Linked DNA regions of Caenorhabditis elegans. The protein of the gene in region 2 purifies or fractionates together with the protein of the main gene of each other region. This does not show direct contact. Each region holds a gene or a part of one and is shown on either strand. Other genes may lie near its edges.

Region 1 (8,333 bases), on a different chromosome or scaffold from region 2:
TAATAAAACTTCCGTTTATCAAAACAACAGTTTATTTAGAAAAAATTAAAGCTCGAAATAAAAAAACAATCCATGAGCTAACAATCCCACGTTTTGTAAAACATGGCAGTCAGTTTGAAAAAAAAGTTCAACAATAAACAGGAGATCAGATAAATTGAGGAAATAGTTTAAAATTTGGGTTTTCACAGTTTTGGAAGTGTATCGAAAGAGGGACACAAATGAACTAATTGAGAAGATTGAGATAAGTGAACGAGACCTTTTGAGCTTTCGCCAAAAATTGAAACGGGGAAATGTTTGGGGTGAGGGAGAGAGGCACATCAAGTGGAACAGGTTTGTGAAATAAAATATGCAATGATTAAAACGTCCTAACTAGAACTTTCTAGGCAGTGAAACTCATCTTATTGTTGTTAGCTGCGGGTATATATTTCATGTTGTCGTAGATTGAGTACAAGTCGGTGAACGAGAACTGCTGAAGAGCTATGAAGCCTTCGATTCCTTGCCTGAAAAATCACATTTTCTTTTCGAACCACTATAATTCTGAGTGAGGTTCCGCAAGTACTTGTGTATTTTTTAAAAGTAACTTTTCAAAAATATACAGAATCACGTGTTGAATGTTTTTGTATTTTTAGGCATAAAAAATAACCATTTCTAAGCCCAAAACGTTCAAAAATTTTGAAAACTTACGATTTAGCACAGTATACACAGAAGACTGTAAACTTTCCGCCAATATCCTTCACGAACAAAATACAAAACACTTCACACTCGCACGTCATACAGAAATGGGATTGTTCTCCACTTGTTCGAGTATGAGCTTTTATGGTTTTCTTCTGAGACACGATATAATCGGCAACCATTCTCAGGAATGCAAGTGATCTGAAATAAAGTTATTACAAACTTGATTGTTCTTCTTAGGCTACTCACCTAATCAATACACCTTTGCAAGTATTGTAGATGAGCTGGTTGGTAAACTTGACATTCTTTGCTACTTGCCAGCACATTAATTGCATTGGAACTTCACTCTTAAATCGGCGCAGCTTGTTGTATTCGTAGCTGAGCAAAGAGATGCTCAACTGTTGAAAGTTGAGTGGCGCCACATTCCAAGAAATGTTGTTGCACCATCCCGAAGCTTGTACCCAATGAATGGCTCCGCCACTCACATATACCATGTCTCCAGCCTTCTGTGTGAAACGGTGCACTGGAATTCCTGCATCTAATAAGTCATCGATAATAGGCCAAAATGTTCCAGTCAAAAGATCAACGCCATTCTTCTCGCACAACTTATGCATCTTTCCCCAATACTCGTATGGAACGGCAAACCATTCACAGTCACCGGGACCAATGTTTATGTTGATGGAAGCCATGTGATTGCTATCCTGATGAGCTGGTGTTCTGCAGCCAGGAACTTTCATGAAAAGCTTAACAGTATTCATGCCGTGAACTTGGTGCCCCAAGTGGGAGAGCATGTTTGAGCCGGCGATGAGGCGACAAAAAGCAGGAAGTTTAGAAAGTTCCTGAAAAACGGCAGTTGTGTTTGGTTTTAAAATATGGAGCAATAAAAAAACTTACGTTGATCTGTTTTCCCCATTTAGTGTCATCAGATAAATCAATATTAGTTCCATATTTAATAGACTTCAGATGTTTCGGTGGAGAGCTGGCTCGCTTATACAATTTCATTCTTTTAGGAGAAGGTCCACGTGTTCCTCCCACATTTTTCTTGATTTTCTCAGCTTCACCCTTTAGCGTGTGCTTGAACGATTCCGATTGATACTCGGCATACTTGTTGACTGTTGTGTACGAGGGATCACTGACACATTGCCATGTCTGTTGACTTGCATGATCACAGTTCGTTTCTGGTGGTAGTTGATACTGAGTTCGGATTTCAATTTCTTGGTTTCCGTCAATTTCTGCCACTGCTTTCGTGGAGAATAGCGACAAATCGAGGCGAAGGCAACCAGTAAGTCCACGAATACAAGAAATAGTAGACCCATCCAAAAACCGTTGTAATTCCAGACTTTGAGCTTCCTTCCTATTGTCCACCGTAAGAATTGGGGTTTTAAGAATTAATGGATGCTTTTCACTCCTTTCTAGCGCCGTGCGTACATCTTCATCTGTTACAATTGGCTTTACGGGACCTCGTGGTGGCTCGGGTAACTTCGCAAATTCTTCAAACACTGGTAGGTATGTGGAGTTTGGCTGAGTTCTTCTATGAACCATTTGCATAATTTCCTGAGCGCTGATATCCATTGAAACATAGAGCTCCGAGAGCAAACTGAAACTATCCGGAAGGTCATTAAACGAAATTTTCGGTAAGAATGGGAAGCTGTAGCATCTCGGCGATTCAAGTAGATGCCCATGGTCGCGAAGGTTTTGGATCATTTCCTCGGTGACACGTGGCATTTCACGAACGGCTTCCGGAATTACGTATTCAATAACTTTTGCCTGAAAAATTTAATGTTTTTCAATAAACCATTTAATAATCCCTATGGTTTTCAAATGTTTCAGATTACAGAAAAAGTGAGTCACAACTTTAACTTTCAGTTCTGATCACGCTTCAGTTATTCAGAATATATTTTACATGCGACAATAGAACATAGAAAAGCTTTATAATTAGGCTCATTGCGTCTACTCAAGAGATTTGTGCAACAGATACGCTATGAAATTCTCTCGTTTTTTTCCTTTTTTAATGTTAGAAGCAACACTGGCGGCCGCCCTGGCAGCAACTGCATCATCACTTCCCTTGATGTACTGGCATAAATGTATAGCTATCATACACTAATGAAAAGAGTATGACTTCTAAGCCGTGTTTGGCCTTTTTTGCTCGCATTTTTCACTGGCCTGTGTTTGTCAGCTATTTGAGCTCTTATTACCTTAAACACTGCCTCGCTGGTTTCCAAACACTCAAGAACTTCTCTCTCAGCTTTTACTAAAGCTGGTTCGTTGGCACGAAGCAACTGCATAACCTGGATTTCGAGATCTTCCATTGGCCTTGGATACGTTACATCCCATTCCATATCTTCCGGCTTTTCATGCTCCATTGTTCTGAAATCTTCCCAAAGATCCCAAAACGCGTTGTCATACTGAGCTTCTCTGTCCTAAAAATTGTGGTTTCAAAAAAACGCACATGACAACAATCACTTACAGCATAGGCAGCGTCTTGACGATTACGAAGCTCTAGAGGTATTGGCTGCTCATAAGCTTCTTTCAATGAAGGTATCACGGTTTCAAATGTTGATGACGAGGCGTGATTTGAGGGACGTGCGGGCACAGGCATCGAGAGTTCTTTTTCAAGAAATTGTACACGAGCTTTGATTGGTTCCGGAGCAACTGAAATGTCATGATAACATTAGTTTGTTCTTTAAAAAATCTGAAATCGTTAATTACTACTACTCACTCAAAACAGCCTCTAGCTTTACATTTAACCTACATTTACAAGCTCACCTTCCTAAAACTTGAAAAACTCAAAACTGCAATGAAATATATTGTTTCTCTTTTTAATGGATACTGCGTTTCATTTGTCACGTCTTCTATTTTATTAAACATTTTCAACTTGGAAACACTTACAGTGTGTATTGCTAATTTCAAAATGAATGTTGTTTGTTATCAGAGCTTTCTTAGAAAAGACCATTACAATTGAAACAACTTGGTTTTTTTCTTAAACATTTTTCAGTCGTTGTCATAAATGTTGTCATACTTCCTTTAAATATATTTTCCAATCACGTGGAAATTTTATCTGGTGACTAGAGATTAAGCAGATTAGTTGTGCTTCTGTTATATCCTTTCATTTCTCTTATATTTTCGTTTAAGTTTACATTCAATGTTTGGCGATAGCAAATTTAGCGACACCCATTCTACTATAGACAGGCAAGTATCATTGGCTGATAAGAAATGAAGAAAATCATATTGAAACTGATTCATTCACAACATTTTTTGATAGAAATTTCAATTTGGTTTTTCCAGAAAAGTTATAATTTATTTATATTCTTCTACTTTTTCTTTCAGGAAACCATCAACATACCTGGATTGTTCAGCATTGCATTTTTGAAACACTCCAGCGCATCTTGGTACTGGGCATTTTTCTCATAAAGCTCTCCGAGATCTGTCCATGCCGCAGAATGTGTTGAATTCAGCTCAATTGCACATATGAATGCCTAAAACGTGTTCAATATATTAAAAATTGGAGGCATTTATTGGAAAGATTGGGGTGGGCATACGCCATTGTTTTGAGAATTGCTCTGATCTTGCACACTGTGCACATTGTTTCCAAAAACTCTAATTTTGATTCCTGAACATACCTGAAGAGCATCAATGGGTTGATTTTGTCGCTGATACAGAGCTCCAATTGAGCACCACGTGTCCGCATTCTGCTCTTTTTTGTCAATCGAAAACCGGTAGTTGACAAACGCATCGTGTGCCTTAAATTCAGGAAGAATTAAATTATTTTCCTAACGTTTTTTTTTGAAAATTAGAGGTTAATAGAAATAAAACAAGTTATTTTTTAAGATTGTTAAGGAACAAAATGAACACAAACCACTTGTCCACTAACACTAGGCTCGTGTTCCCCGTAGACTCGTCCCAGATAGTAGTAGCTTTGTCCATCTCGTGGATCTGTATCATGTGCACTAATGAGATTCTCTTGGGCCTTCTTCAAATGATCCAGACGATTTGCATCGTCTTTATAAGAGCGGCGATATGAAATCCAGCCAATTTGTCGCAAACATGCTGCTTTCACACTTATCAATAAGTCAACTTGTTGTTGATCCACATTCGACTTGCTTTGTAAGAAACTGATGTGTTGTGTTAACTGAAATTATTCGATTTTTTTTTGTTTTTAACATTGTTTGGTGATACTACTCACTTCAGTTATTAGGTTTTCATATTCTGATTCTGCAATTTCAAGCTCATCATTATTCTCGTGGCTCAGAGCAATGTTGTACTTAATTGTGAATTTCGGCATAAATACTGACTCATCACTGTCGTTGACGGCAAGTTTGAACAGCTGTAAAATATAATAAGTTTATTAAATAACTGAAAAGATTTTACGAAATTTTACGCATTGTAAAGTTTCTGGAGTATAGCTTTTTATTGCAAAAGCATGCGTATTCTCGGTCTTTTGATCTAGCTTTGTAGAGTATCTAGCTAATTTTCCACAACTAGTTGTGGGAAAACTGCCAGTTTGCTCGAGAAAGCTGATGGTAAGACTTACCAAAAGTTTAATTAAGAAAGATTGTAGAAACACTACAAATTTTAATAACGCATTGAATGCAATTAAAACTTGTTTTTTTTATGTCTCAACTTATAACTTTTTCAGATCGTTTTCTTAATACTTACATTTATGCATCTGTTGTAATCTTCAAGTTCCATGTAACACACTCCAAGACGAACTTTTGCTTGCAATGCGATCATACCGGTTGGAAAACTATATAGCAGTCTTGTGAATGCCTCGATTGCACTAGAAGATTTTGTTTCAGATTATTCACAACAAAAAAACAAAAACTCACGGTTTCCACTGTTTGAAATGCAAGTAGACAAGACCTAACCCGAAGTACATCGAAGGATCATGTGAGAATAGGTCAGGATGATGGCTCAACACTTCTTGATAAAGCTCCAGTGCTCCGGTCCAATCATTTGCCAAAAGAACAACGTGACACTGTTTCGCCAATCCGTAGAAAATGCGCCGTTCGATTGTCTTGTACTTGTGCGTTTTATAAATGCTCTTCATCTCATCCACATATCTGACAAGGTATTGGCGGGCTTTTGCAAAGAACAATCTGACTTGATAAGTGAGATCGGCTGGGTTTTGAACGTGAAACTCGTCGAATGATAAACTGAAAATTAAAAAAATATTTACTTTATTGCAATCTTGTGACAATTTTTCAACCTGCTTAATGTGCGAATCCTTTCCAGTTCATAATTTGTCAGAAGGGGCAGTTCCAGCCATTTTTTAAAGTTTCCAGGCTGAAAAATGAGAAAATTTAACTTTTGCGCACTAAAAACAAGTAATCCTTACATGACGCTCCTCCGGCAGAGGTTCTGATTCGTCCATTGGCGGTGTGAGAAGCGATACGGTGTTCATGCACAAGACTTTTTGGGAATTATACAAATCTGGAAAAACTGCAGCGATTTAGTAATAATAAAATACATACACATAAGAGAATTGTAGGAAACATAACTTGGAGAAATCTTAATCAAGTTTTGACAAAGAAAATAAGCACAAAAAATCAATTAGAGCACTGTGAACTGGTCAATACTGTGTCTTAATTCAAATAGTATGGTTTATTAAACAAAGATCAACGTTAGAAACGGAGTATCGTTGCCATTGCCGTGCGTTCGCAGCCCGTCTCTACTGTGCCTGTTTGGCGAATGGTGGAGGGGGAAATGGAGAGGTAGTGCTCGGTATACGGACGCGCAGACGGTTAGAAACGCTTGGGCGGACAAGGAGTGGGTCGATGGTGTGCGCAAGTATGGATTGGGGTCGTCAGGGGGCAATTTGTGGAAAGGGTGAATATATGCAGATTTCGCAATACCGCACAAAGTGGAACTGAATCTCATTCAGAAATTTGTAAAATCGAGAGAACATGAGTTATGAAAAATTCCATGCTAAGAATATTGTCAAGCTACTCTGCTTTATTCTTCAAAAATATGTAAATAAAAAACTAACACAAATCTTGAACAATATTGCCAATAGTAATAGAACTTTGGTATCTTTATAGTTTTTTGAAATGTCTTTTTCACATTAAGTTTTTGATCCACTTTGTTTGAGAGCAACCAGTACATTATTGTGGATCTTGTTGTAGAAGTTATTACTTTAAAACCTGAGCTTTTTGAGATTAACAACAGGAAGACCGCTGGAAAAAAAAGTTACAATCCAAGATTTTGGACAACACAAACTGAGTTCTTGTTTAATTTCAAGAAAATTTATTTACATCTAGGAAAACAGTAAAGAAAAAGAGATCTCGGAAATACGCAAGAGAGAAGAGCAAAGTAAGAAAACTGATGGAAAACTTCAAATATCTCCAAGCACTTGATTCTAACCGGAATGTACAAAAAGTTTAACAAAAAAGGAAATGAAAGAGGGAAAAAGGGAGATAGAGAGCATTTAAAATCTTTTCACAACCAAATTATACAAGTGAAGTATCTCATGTAAAACTGAAAGAAAATGAAAAAGAGTAGATTGTGAATGGGGGAATGGGCGGGGATGAAATTTAAATTTAGGTTTCTGATTCACATTTACAAGTATTTTGTTTTTTATTGATAGATTTGTTATGCCATAGAAAAGTTTTGATTCTCAAGTTTGAAAAATCCGGGGAGCAGGGCAAGTTTTTCAGGTCCGATGAAGATAAAATCCGAATTTGTATTTTCACCAGTTTGGATCGCCGTTAGAGGAAAAGAATTCCAGAAGATTATGACACCGTTTCGAGATGCTTGGCTTGTGATGAATAACATTGTAGTCAGTGGAGCCGGAGTGAGAATGGGCATGACCAGCTCGGCGAGCTTTGATACGATCGTTGGTCGTCACTCCTTGCGAGATCTATAATAATTATTGTATTTAATTTTTTGTAACAAGAATGAATAATTTCTAAAATTGAATTACCGAATGTTCTCTATTAGTAATGTGGCTGTTGCTATCAATAACGCATTTAAATGTGTCCACGAAAATTTGTGTTCAAGTCTCTAGCAATCCTAATTTTGTTGGAAATGCCAATTTCAAAGATTTTCATTATTTGCAGTTCAATTGTCTTCTATGTATAATAAAACTCCTAACAACCAATTAACAAAAAAAACGTCAATAATTAATTTATTTTTAACAACTTTTTTTAAATCGTCACCTAACACAATAGCTGTTTCATTTGAAAATAGGTAATCTCGAACTAAATTTAAACTATCAAAAATAGTATTGCATACAATACTAATAGGAAAAATATTTGCCTGATTCATGAAATATTTACCTGGTTCATTTGAACACAGAACAGCACGGCAAGCATGAGTGCGTGCATCGCCGAGAGAATGATGGTGATCATCAAGAACGCGTCAGTTTCCAGGAATTCTTCTGTAAAAATAAATATTCATATATTTTTCGGATAAACTCCTGAGTAAGGAATGTATGCATAGTTAGTCGCAGTTAACATTTTACCAGTTTAGTTTTACAACCAATTTCCCATGACATAAAAAACATGTTTGGGGAGTTTCCCAAGTCGCATTTATTGAATTTTTTTTTCTTAATCCGATTAACCTCTTAGTGGTCAACCTCTCAGATTAACCTCTTACTAGTTAGAGGTACTGTAAAAACGACTCACCCAAACCATGATCTTCAATTTGGAGCAGCGCATAATGAC
Region 2 (4,403 bases):
GGGCAAAAAATTCTCGCATTTTTTGTAGATCAAACTGTATTGAGACAGCCTGACATCACGTGGGTATCAGGTTGTATTTAAATCAGTTGAAAATTCTGCGTCTCTTCTCCCGCATTTTTTTTAGATCTACGTAGATCAAGCCGAAATTGGAAACTCTGGCACCACGTGCAAAAATCACTTCTCAGAACTCCAAATAAATAAAATTTTCCAGGACGACTACAAAGTTCGCTCGTCGACAGGCTTCTACTCATCTCTCCGAAATCTTTTTTCAACTGGAAACCCTTCAACAACCACAACAATCTCATCAATACCAGAATCCCATATAAATCCAATGTTCGCAAATCATGAGAAATGCTCAATTTCGAGAAGCTTCACACATCTACCGTACCCGCCGAAGAAGAAGAGGAAAAGTCACTTGAGACGCGTTTTTTCGTGCTTTTCGATTTTTAAACATTAGGATCTATTTTATTGTGTGTTTAATAGGTACTGGTGAAGTTTTGAATTTGCGCGTAAGATATGGTGCATCGTGACTGGTGCCAATGACGGCTGTCATAATTAATTCATCCCAGTGGCCGAGTAGTCAGAATGTCCCATTTCGGTTTGATCTACGAAGATCTACAAAAAATGCGGGAGTAGAGTTCTCAACTGATTTTGCATGATTAGAGGACGTGCTGCCGTCATGCAAAAATTCCCGCATTTTTTGTAGGTCAAACCGTAATGGGGCAGTCTGACACCAGTATTGCACCGAAAACTATCAAAGACACAATAATTCTGCTAATATTATTATGTTTCGATTATTTTTCAATTTGTTAAAAATTCCCTTTACTGGTTTTCCTGGCTTCTGTCATATTTTGGTTCCCCAATTCCCCTTCCTATCACGCATAATTTTATTAATTTTTTATTACATAATCTAGTCTTACCATGAATTCTCTGCTGACCAACGCAAAATCCAAACAAGTTTTTGCATAATTTTTGAATAAAATGATGATTTTTGTCTCGATAGAATTTTATTAGTATTTCTTATTTGCAGTGTAAAAAGGCACAATTAAATGATTGAATTCAATTCAATATTGAACAAAGTAAAGCATTATTTAGGCAGCACCATGAGTAGGTCAAAAAATTTTTTGGGTTGAAATGGCAATTTTAGGCTTGTTGAATTCCTTTTCTCGATACTTTCTTCTCCTTATTTCTTTTTGGTGGAACTGGAGTTGACGATGGTTCCTGACGACCGAAGAAATATCGATAGTCGTCAGTTCTGATGTGAGCCCAGACTCCGGCGGCTCCGTTGGCCTCGAATTGCTCCTAAAATCACAGAAAATTTTTAAATAAAAAATAAATAAAATATATATGTACCTCAATTCTCGGAATAAATGGATTGTGCTCCAATCTGAGCACCTGCTTTGACCCGACCAACTCCAAATTTCCGAGCTCTGGTGGAATCATAGCCAGACGATTTCCCTGAATATGAAGCTCACGGAGACGTGTCAGCTTTCCCAGCTCTTTTGGAAGAGTGAGCAAATCGTTTTCACGGAGCACGAGGATTTGCAAATTTGTAAGATTTTCGACGTCTCCGGGGAGCATTTCGAAATCATTGTCTCCGAGGTACAAGGCGCGGAGGGTTTCTGGAAATTGGGAGAGGTTTTTTCGGAGAAGGGAACACCGGATGCCCCAGATTCAGCTTTTTTAACTGATGTAGTGTACAACATCACATTTTTCTGGGCGAAACGTTCCCGCATTTATTGTAGATCAAACTTATTCCAGTCCTAACAAGAATTTAAAATTCCAATTTTTCCCCCACTTACGCATAAAGAAAAAGTTTCCAGGCAATGATCGTTCACTCAAATTGTTGTAGGTCAAATCAAGAATTTCCAGCTCTGGGAAGGATCCGAATCCACGTGGCAGAATCGACAGCTTGTTCATTCCGACGTTAAGAATTCGAAGTTTTGGAAGAGATGAAATCGATGGAGGTAGATCCTCGATTTGGTTATTCCACAAATTCAGGGACTGCAATTTTTTAAAGATTGGATTAAGAAGATTACCTTGATGTAGGGTTGGCTTACCTGAAGACTGACCAAATCCGCAATATTTGGTGGTACTGAAGTGAGCTTGTTGTGGCTCAAAGTGAGACGAGTGATGATTTCCGCATCGACTGGAATTCAATTTTTGGAAGATTTCGAAAATTTATCCCGCTTAGGCTTAAGTCTGAGCCTAAGCGTAAGCCTAAGCCTAAGCGTAAGCCTAAGCCTAACATAAGCCTAAGATTGAGCCTAAGCCTAAGCCAAATCCTGAGCCAGCGCCTGCGCCTGCGCCTACGCCTAAACCTAAGTTTAACCCTCAGCCTGAGCCTAAGCCTAGGACTAAGCCTAAGATTGAGCCTAAGCTTAAGCCCAAGCCTGAACCTAAGCCTCAGCCTAAGAAGCAACACATTTATTTTGATCTACAGACCCAATGCACCGTATTTGACGCGCAAATTCTATTTACGATTTTCCCGCGGAGGAGCTGAGCACAGAGCAACAGCTGCTGCTCCGCCAGATCAATTTCTAATGCATACGAAACCATGGAATAATTGAAGATTTGCGCGTCAAATGTGGCGCAGAGCTCAAAAAAATGCTTACTGAGATGTGAAATTTGAGAAAACGACGAAATATTCCGATCGACATGCTCAACCTCTGTCACTTCGTCTTTCTTCTTGTCCTTTGGCATTTTTACCTGAAATTTTAATTTTTTACATCCTTTTTTTGTGGATAGGAAATGGTGCTTCGCGAGTTGATAAACGATAAAATCAGTGTTAAATATGACTATTTTCATACTTTGACATGGTGCATCGACACAAAAATTTGAAGAAATAGCAATTCCAAAGATCTTTTTCACTTTCTCACTTTCTAATCCTCTATTAAATATAATTGCGGAAGAACTAGCAAAAAAATGGGAAAAAAAGGAAACACAGCTGGAATACCATTCAAGGGGATTCCAACGAGATAGTACATGAACCTGTAAAGACACAGAGACATATATTTGTTGAGAGAGGGGACGAAAGACGAAAGAAAAAGAAGAAATGACAGCGAATCGTAGGCGGAATGGACGTGTGTGGGGTGAGATGGGGGGAAAAGGAAAGTGTGTACAGCGAGAGAGTATTACACTGTTGGAGAGACGCAGGGTGCTGGAGACATTTCAGTTTGCCAAGAGAACGATGAGAAGCAGTGAAAAGTTCATTGAGCGATGGGCGGAAGGAGGATCCTCCTTGAGGAGAAGGTTACATTTTTATTGATTGATTTTTTTCGGGCCCATATTGCGATCAATTCTATTTTTTGAAAGGTTTGGGTTTTGTGTGTTTTTTCTAGATTTTCCTATTTTTTAAAGATTTTAAATTTCTAAATTTTAATCTTCGGCATCAAAAAATTTTAGATATTAGATTTACACAAATTTTTTTTTCCTTTTTTCTTATTTTTAATCTAAAAAAACAAATTTTTTCTTCAAAATGTTCGTCTTTTGGTACACCTCTAAAGGGGCACAAGTAAAATCTAAGTGATGGGTCTCGCAACGAACTACTACTAATTTTAAGTTCTTGAGGCGCGCCTTTAAGGTTACTGAAGGCAGCATTTATTGATTTTTAATTATTTTTAATCATTTTGTCTTAAGATGGCAAAAAGCGATAAGAAAAAATTCAGTAGAAAGAGAGAAAAAGGTAAACATTTCGATTGTCTCGTCGTCTTTTTTTTTTGCTTCATTTTCTCTCTTTTTTCACTTTTTAGTTTAAAAAAGCAAAAAAAAAAATTAATTTCCTTCCGTTCAGTGCCCATAAATCCGTTTATGAAACGTCATCAATATCTCTAAGCCCTCTTTTCTCTCTCACAGTATTCCAAATAAACAAAAAAAGATGTCTCTTCCTCCCTGCCAACCAACAGCCAACGTCAGTTTTTAAAATGAAATTTTTTTTTTCTAAAAATTGGCCAAAAAACCGATTTTTAGACTGAAAAAAGGCTTTAATGTCCAAAAATAATCAAAATTATCGATTTTCGACACGCTCGTAAATTAATTAGTCTTGTCAGTTGTCGTCAATTATAATGAATTACATCCCCGAGAAAAAGTAGATCAAAGACCGGTTTATCCCTCCCGACAGATACGGAATGTGTGTCCGCTTCCGATCAAAAGGTTCTCTTTTTCTTATTTTGTAGTCTGTGTGGAGGATACACTTGGTGATTAATTATTATTTATCGGCCTAAAAAATGGTTTTATATTTTTATAATACCCAGACGTGAAATTTTGCGATTTTTGCGCCCCGGGGCTCGACACGACAATTTTCTTATTAATTGCAAAAAAGGTGTACGCCTTTAAAGAGAATTTTCAACAATTTTAATTTTTTTTTTAAATAAAAATATATTTATTTAATGAAATCGAATAAA
Region 3 (6,363 bases), on a different chromosome or scaffold from region 2:
AGGACGCAGAACTAAGAAACTATCTCAATGCTTTTAAGTAAAAATTAAGTAAAAAATTTTAAGTAAAAAGAATCTAAAATTGAATCCTGTTTCACCCCGTAACCTCAAAAATGACGCGATCTCAAAAAAGATATTTGGACTTTTCTGATCTCATATCCCACATCAGCATCAAACCTAAAATCGGCTATAATCAAATTCACTTTACAATTTAACATCATTTTCTGTTGATTGCAGGCATCTTCGGATGAATACTCTCTTGGAGAAGAAGAAGATTTGGAACTGTTCATGGCAAAACCACGCAAGAAGATCCTTGAAGAAATGAAAAATAAGAACAAGGCGAGATTAGGAATCAAAGTGACGGAGAGGTTGCCAACTGTTTCAGATGATGAAGAAATTGACGTTGCGGATATGCTCCGTGCAGCTCCACCAATTGCCAACGCCGAAGATATTGAAGATTTTGATGATATCTAATTTCAAACTTTTATTAATAGGACCAAAATCCTAAACTTTTTGAAAATTCGATTCAATCATATTTTAGTGCTTTATGTCATTTTTAAATCATTCACAAGAATTTATTTAATTCATTATATCAAAACATGTACAATATTTGCCTTTTATACTGATATTTAAAGACTATGCAATTTCAAATTTCAAGATACCTCTTGATGCCTTAATTTCTTTCAAAAATTACTACTTCTTTCACAATGTGTCTTCCAAATATGAAAAACTTTCCGATGTCAACTTTTGCTTTCATTTTACTAATTCAATCAAGCTCACTCTACTCATTTTATGTTTTCTTTTCCTGTCTGCACTTTCATCCGTCACCCAGTTGTATTTTAGATGCGTGGTAGTTTTTGGTATTGTCATTTTAATGCTTTTTTAAAAATCTTCAATCTTTATTTTTACATTGTATTCAAAGATAAATTTAATTTTCTTGACAATGTCACGTTTATTAGTGAATTAAAAATGTTTCCCCGAGATTTGGTAAGTGTTTTGGCACTCTACATGCTACACATGAAATGAAAAAAGTTTGCAATTAAATTAAGAGCGAAATTGGATTATTGAAGTTGAAGTCACGGAAAAAGTATGGCTACATTTATCTAAATCAAGATTGAGAGAACAAACGATCAGAAACTTTAAGTTTCAAATTTCTGGCTTGGATTAATTTATCCTTATCAAAATGTGCCCAAAACGAAGTGATCTACAATTAAAAACAACAATGAAGTGACAAAAAACAATGCAAACCAAACGGAAAACCAGGAACTCCAATATTCTCTCATAATGTAATTACATTATAATGAAGAAAAAACATAACAAATTTGAAAAAAGGCAGATTTTTTCTACAGATAAGTTACACGTATTTGGCGCCACTATCAGAGGATAGGGTGATATTCGAACAAGATACACTACACGGGCAATCTTCTCAGCCGATGAATGAAAAGATTAACTACACACGGATTAATAGGAGACATGTATTTTCTCCGATCATTTGATAACCAGGCAGACAGTCGCATTTGTAACTTCCTGGTACGTTTCGACAGGTTGAACCTGAGAGACAGCCGCCAAGCTGTAAAAATTTACTTCATTATTTCATCAAAATTAGTGAGTGTTCTAGCAATTTATTTCCACACTTGCTTTTTCCAAGACAAAACACTGAAATAGGGCCACTACTTTGTTTATATTTTTCAATTGATTTCAGTCAAAACAAAAGCACGATGGTTAAAAACATATATAACATTGATGTATTTGGCTTTTTCACTTTTTGAATTTGATGATAACATAAACGCAATAGCAATGATTGGAAAAGTGCGTCTAAAATTATATCAGATTGATACCAAACATTCAATTTTATGATAATTCGTATATACATATAACAATTCTCACTCCCCAAAAATTTAAAATATTAACAATAAGGATTACGAAATTTGAGCTATTTCTCCAAGGGCTCGTTATTCATTGTTATCCTTTTTTGTTTTGGGAGTTGTTTGTTCTTTTTTTCTTATTTTTTTTTTCGTCTTTCACCTTCTACACAAAACGAATAGACAAAAAGAAAAAATCTATTTAGCCTCGAGGGACCACTGGCTATCGGATAAAATAGTCAGAGGAATAACGACAAACCTGTTCCTTGGCGTCTTGCGAGAAGGAGCACTCGTCAATGTCTTCGCAATACGTGCCATTTCCTTGGAAGCCCTGAAATGATGATCACATCGAGAGATGTCCTCTGGGAAAATATTTGGAAGCAGCTTACCGTGTCGCATGAGCATTTTGGCCCACGTTTTGAATCTGTGCATGTAGCGTATTTGTGACACGGTTTCACTGCACAGAAACGTGCAAAATCGCGACATTTTGGGCAGCAATTGAATTTTTCATTGTAAACCCAATCTTCTTCCGGACAACTCGGAGGCTCACATGTTGCATATCTAAATTTGAAATTGATGTCGTCACAACAAAACGTTTTCTTACTCGGATGAACAGTGAACTTTTTTATCCCAACATTGACACCTGTAGCAGTCTCCTGGCCAGAAAACTTCTCCATGAGGGTTTGCAATTTTGTGACTTTCGTAAAAACACTGAAAAATTTTAAAAGATCTTCTTTCGTATCACTGAAGTGCTCTTTGGTTTCGGTTTGTGCCTTCTCACCTGTTCACCACAACTCGGGCAACAATCATCTTTTCGTATCATCGGATGGGTGCAGGTGACAGCTGGACAATCCACTGCTTGACAAACTACATTATCCCTGAAAAATCAATTTTGGGGAAGTTGGGATTATGAATAATGAAATACCTATCTACACAAGTACACGTATTGCAATTGACAGTTTTTGTTTCATTGATGTTGAGAAGAGCATTATTGATCTGAATCAAAGTTAATCGATTTAGACGTATTATGCTTTAGTTTTAATTTAATTGCAAATTAAAAAACAGTTTATCACAAATTAAAACTGTTTATGTGTGCTCCGATCAAATATCTGAACTGTAACTCTTGTACACTACAAAAAAAACAATTATAGGCTTACCTTACAACCATCGAATCCTGGTGGGACTTGAACAACTGTTTCAAAAAATATCTCATTGATAGCGTCGATTGCACTCTGAAAACAAATATTATCACGAAAACTAGTTTCGTCCACGTGTCCATCTCAGTTCAATGCTGGTTTTTAATCAATTAAAACCTACTACTTTCCGTCATTTGCCACTCTAAACGTTGAATGTGACGAAATAGTAGAATAAATTAGCATTTGATTGAAATTAAAAGAAACGTATTTAAAAAGAGAGAGATGCAGAAAATTAAATATATGAAATGCAGCGATCGTGGGAAAGTGATGACCAAGAACCATTAACTTTGAATGTTTCTCTCACCGGTTCGTAATTTCTTTCTATTTTCTCGGTGTATGCATCCGCGTATTTCTTTTTGACACCGTCATGTTTACACTTCTGACCTATAGGCCAACCAGATCCTATTAAAAACTGTGTCGGTTCTGGACCTTTCCAGTTATCGACAATATGAAGCGATGGATGGTTCAATCTGAATGCAAAAATTAAAACTATTGTGAAAAGTTGAACTTACGTTAGCTGCAAATGCGGCTCAAAATCAGAATAAACTTCATCACAACCATTGTAAACATGAATGTGATTATTTTGAAAAGTTATGATCAATTCTAGATTTCGTCCAATTTTTCCAATACTATCAAAGTCGATTACATATCGCTTTTCCCAGTTGTTAGACTGTATTCGGCTTTTGCTTATTGGAAGCACCATGTAAAGCTGTAAAAACTAATAATTTCTGAATGGGAGAAGATTCTCTAAATTCCAATCTTTAAGATTTTTATCTAACTAGAAAATGAGTAAGAACACAAATTAACTATTATTCATTGAAGGTAGTCAAAAAAGATGTTGCAAACATATTTTGAAGGTTTTATTATTATTTTTGGTCATTTTGGCACTGTTGAAATGATTTTTAACAATATCCCAACTGAAGCTACACCAGTCTTAAGATCAAATGGTTAGTTGGCACTATAATAATTGGAAGGCAGAGTTAACATCAAAACTTGGTTTTTTTTTCAACTTTTGCTCAAGGAAAAACGTTACAAAATAACAAAACACAAAAAACTCACCGTCTTATTCTTGAACCCAAATTCTATTCGTCTTTCGGAGTTTTGTGCCAGGAAAAACGTTCCATTCGAATCGAGATCAAAATTAGTGAGAATCCAAGATTCTCCAATTGACAGAAGGTTCATATAATGAGCAAGTATATAAGAACTTCGATCAATATGACCGTGACTAACGGAAATTAATACCAGTGGAATTATTAAGTGATGAGCCCACATTTTAAACCTGAAAATAAGAAATTCTATCAGTTATGAAAATAATAACGAAACGAGATCAGGATGATAGTAAAAATAAATAACAAGGTAGCTCAGCATATAATTAAATATTTCGTGAGAAAAAAAACAAACCAATATGTGAATAGTAAGCCGGAAAAATTTAGAACGTTTGAAACTGAAATAGAAGTAAATACCACAAATAAATATCTTAATGGGAATGAGTAAAGAACAATGTTACTCCTAGCCCCCGCCCACTCCCTGTCCAAAAAAAGAAAAGTTGCGAAAAAAGATAGAAAAAGATGTATAGCAGAGTTCGGGAGGGGGGGGGGGGGGGGGGTCCGAGAAGTTTTTCATGGTGCTCCCCAGATGTCTGCGGATGTTGTATCACATGGGGCGGCGATGTCTGAGTGAAGGCGTGAAATCAAATCTTGGGGCATTGAAAAATAGTGAATTGTTGGGAACAACAGAGGAAATGGCGAGTAGTTGGAACAGTAGTTGACTAATTGATACAACTTGATTTCACTAAAGTTTTAGCGGATAACTGGAAAATAGGTGGGCTGGCTGTTGTTAGGCGTTTCTACAAGAATGCTTTCTGTTTGGTCGAACTTTAAAACAAAATTTTTAAAGCTCTGTGAAAAAACAATTTCTACTTTGAGGCATCGGTACAGGAAAAATCATTCGATAATGGAAGTAACATTGTAACACTAATTTTACTTCAGTTTAAAACTTTCAGCAAAGTTTCTCAGAGATTTTAAAGGCGAAGTACCGAAATCTGATACGTTGTTTTTAGACCCAAAATAGCCGAATACTTCAGAATATTGTAATGAGACGTTCTAAAAATATATCAAAAAAGTTATGACGGTTCAAGACTTAAAAAAAAGATATTTCCGAAGATTTCAGAAAAAAAAAGTCTTAAGTTCTGTAAGCTTGACAAAGTCACCACTTGCGGAAGTAAGTTGCTTTTATTTATTTTAAATGTCTTCAACCCGCTACAACCGCAAACAACAAAAGTAACATCGAAAACGTATTTGATATGATTATGATCATTAATTTAAACTAAATATGTACAGTTTTTTCTCAATTTATTTCGAAAAAGTTTACTGAAAGCGAGGTATTTTGAAGTAATGTTTATAAATTAATTTTATTTTGTTTTACATCACATTGTTTTATTTTAAAAATTCCAAAAAAAAAAAAGATTCAACAACAATTTAAAAACAGAAATGGCAACACAAAGTTGAAGCAAACGAAAACTCAGAAAATCATTTGAACAAAATGGAATCAATTTTTCGTTGATACATAGAACAGACTCCTTCTTAAACTCGCGAAAATTAAATTTGTGAACGAACCCTCTCAAGCTTTTATATGCTCGAACAACTCCTTGACACTCGAATTTTTTTTCTAGTAGCCTGTCTCGATACTTCAGTGCTAAATGGATTTGTCAAAGATTCCTTTCATAAAAACAGAATAAATGAAAAACCAAAAAACCGAAAAAAGAAGCAACTCTGAATATGAATGAGCCACTGCGAAAATATTTATATATGAACAAAATAGAACTAAGAACAAAAATCTTGAACAAAACTTGTGGAAACTTTTGCGTGCTAGAATAAATGAGATTTTTGAAAGCTGTATTGAATAGAGAAGAAGGGTTTACTTACTACTCATTGAATACTAATGAAATCTTTTGGGAGTGGGTTTATTTTTGGGTTGTCAGCTTCTGAAACAAATTATTCTTTGCGTCAAAATTTTTGAAATGGAATGATATATCGAAATAGCTTTGAAAACATTAAGGTTCTGACCAAAAATAAATGAAGTGAAGCAAAAAATTTAAATAATATTGCATCTTATACCAATTATTTAAACTCAATACGGAAGAGGGTTGAAACCGGAACTTTAAAAATATTCATCGGAAATATTACAACAAGCTTTCAAAACTGCACGCAATGTTTTATCAAACCTTTCCAGAGTCCACCGATTTCATCTTTCCTGTGGATAATTCATATGAATCTTCATTTAAAATTATACGATGAGATGATGAATAA

Evidence for each region.
Region 1: the proteins of rsu-1 (region 2) and utx-1 fractionate together in Caenorhabditis elegans (co-fractionation; one large-scale study listed by BioGRID). This does not show direct contact.
Region 3: the proteins of rsu-1 (region 2) and F19C6.3 fractionate together in Caenorhabditis elegans (co-fractionation; one large-scale study listed by BioGRID). This does not show direct contact.

The regions. Positions count from the first base shown.
Region 1 is NC_003284.9:8,554,920-8,563,252, reverse strand, and holds utx-1 (JmjC domain-containing protein), read right to left. Parts: upstream 6,103-8,333; 5' UTR 6,074-6,102; coding exon 6,008-6,073; intron 5,956-6,007; coding exon 5,879-5,955; intron 5,826-5,878; coding exon 5,499-5,825; intron 5,450-5,498; coding exon 5,329-5,449; intron 4,997-5,328; coding exon 4,856-4,996; intron 4,802-4,855; coding exon 4,529-4,801; intron 4,413-4,528; coding exon 4,293-4,412; intron 4,149-4,292; coding exon 4,016-4,148; intron 3,325-4,015; coding exon 3,140-3,324; intron 3,093-3,139; coding exon 2,868-3,092; intron 2,440-2,867; coding exon 1,567-2,439; intron 1,512-1,566; coding exon 922-1,511; intron 874-921; coding exon 685-873; intron 501-684; coding exon 380-500; 3' UTR 18-379; downstream 1-17. Other genes in the region: dhhc-14 (Palmitoyltransferase), read right to left, coding at 7,358-7,528, 7,947-8,047, 8,295-8,333.
Region 2 is NC_003281.10:3,470,309-3,474,711, reverse strand, and holds rsu-1 (Ras suppressor protein 1), read right to left. Parts: upstream 2,710-4,403; 5' UTR 2,704-2,709; coding exon 2,616-2,703; intron 2,150-2,615; coding exon 2,061-2,149; intron 2,005-2,060; coding exon 1,803-2,004; intron 1,623-1,802; coding exon 1,354-1,622; intron 1,303-1,353; coding exon 1,144-1,302; 3' UTR 993-1,143; downstream 1-992. Other genes in the region: C34C12.9 (uncharacterized protein), read left to right, coding at 212-457.
Region 3 is NC_003284.9:10,004,429-10,010,791, forward strand, and holds F19C6.3 (VWFC domain-containing protein), read right to left. Parts: upstream 4,337-6,363; 5' UTR 4,328-4,336; coding exon 4,115-4,327; intron 3,765-4,114; coding exon 3,568-3,764; intron 3,526-3,567; coding exon 3,360-3,525; intron 3,092-3,359; coding exon 3,017-3,091; intron 2,856-3,016; coding exon 2,785-2,855; intron 2,738-2,784; coding exon 2,641-2,737; intron 2,571-2,640; coding exon 2,464-2,570; intron 2,421-2,463; coding exon 2,249-2,420; intron 2,191-2,248; coding exon 2,119-2,190; intron 1,568-2,118; coding exon 1,448-1,567; 3' UTR 876-1,447; downstream 1-875. Other genes in the region: F19C6.2 (uncharacterized protein), read left to right, coding at 235-471.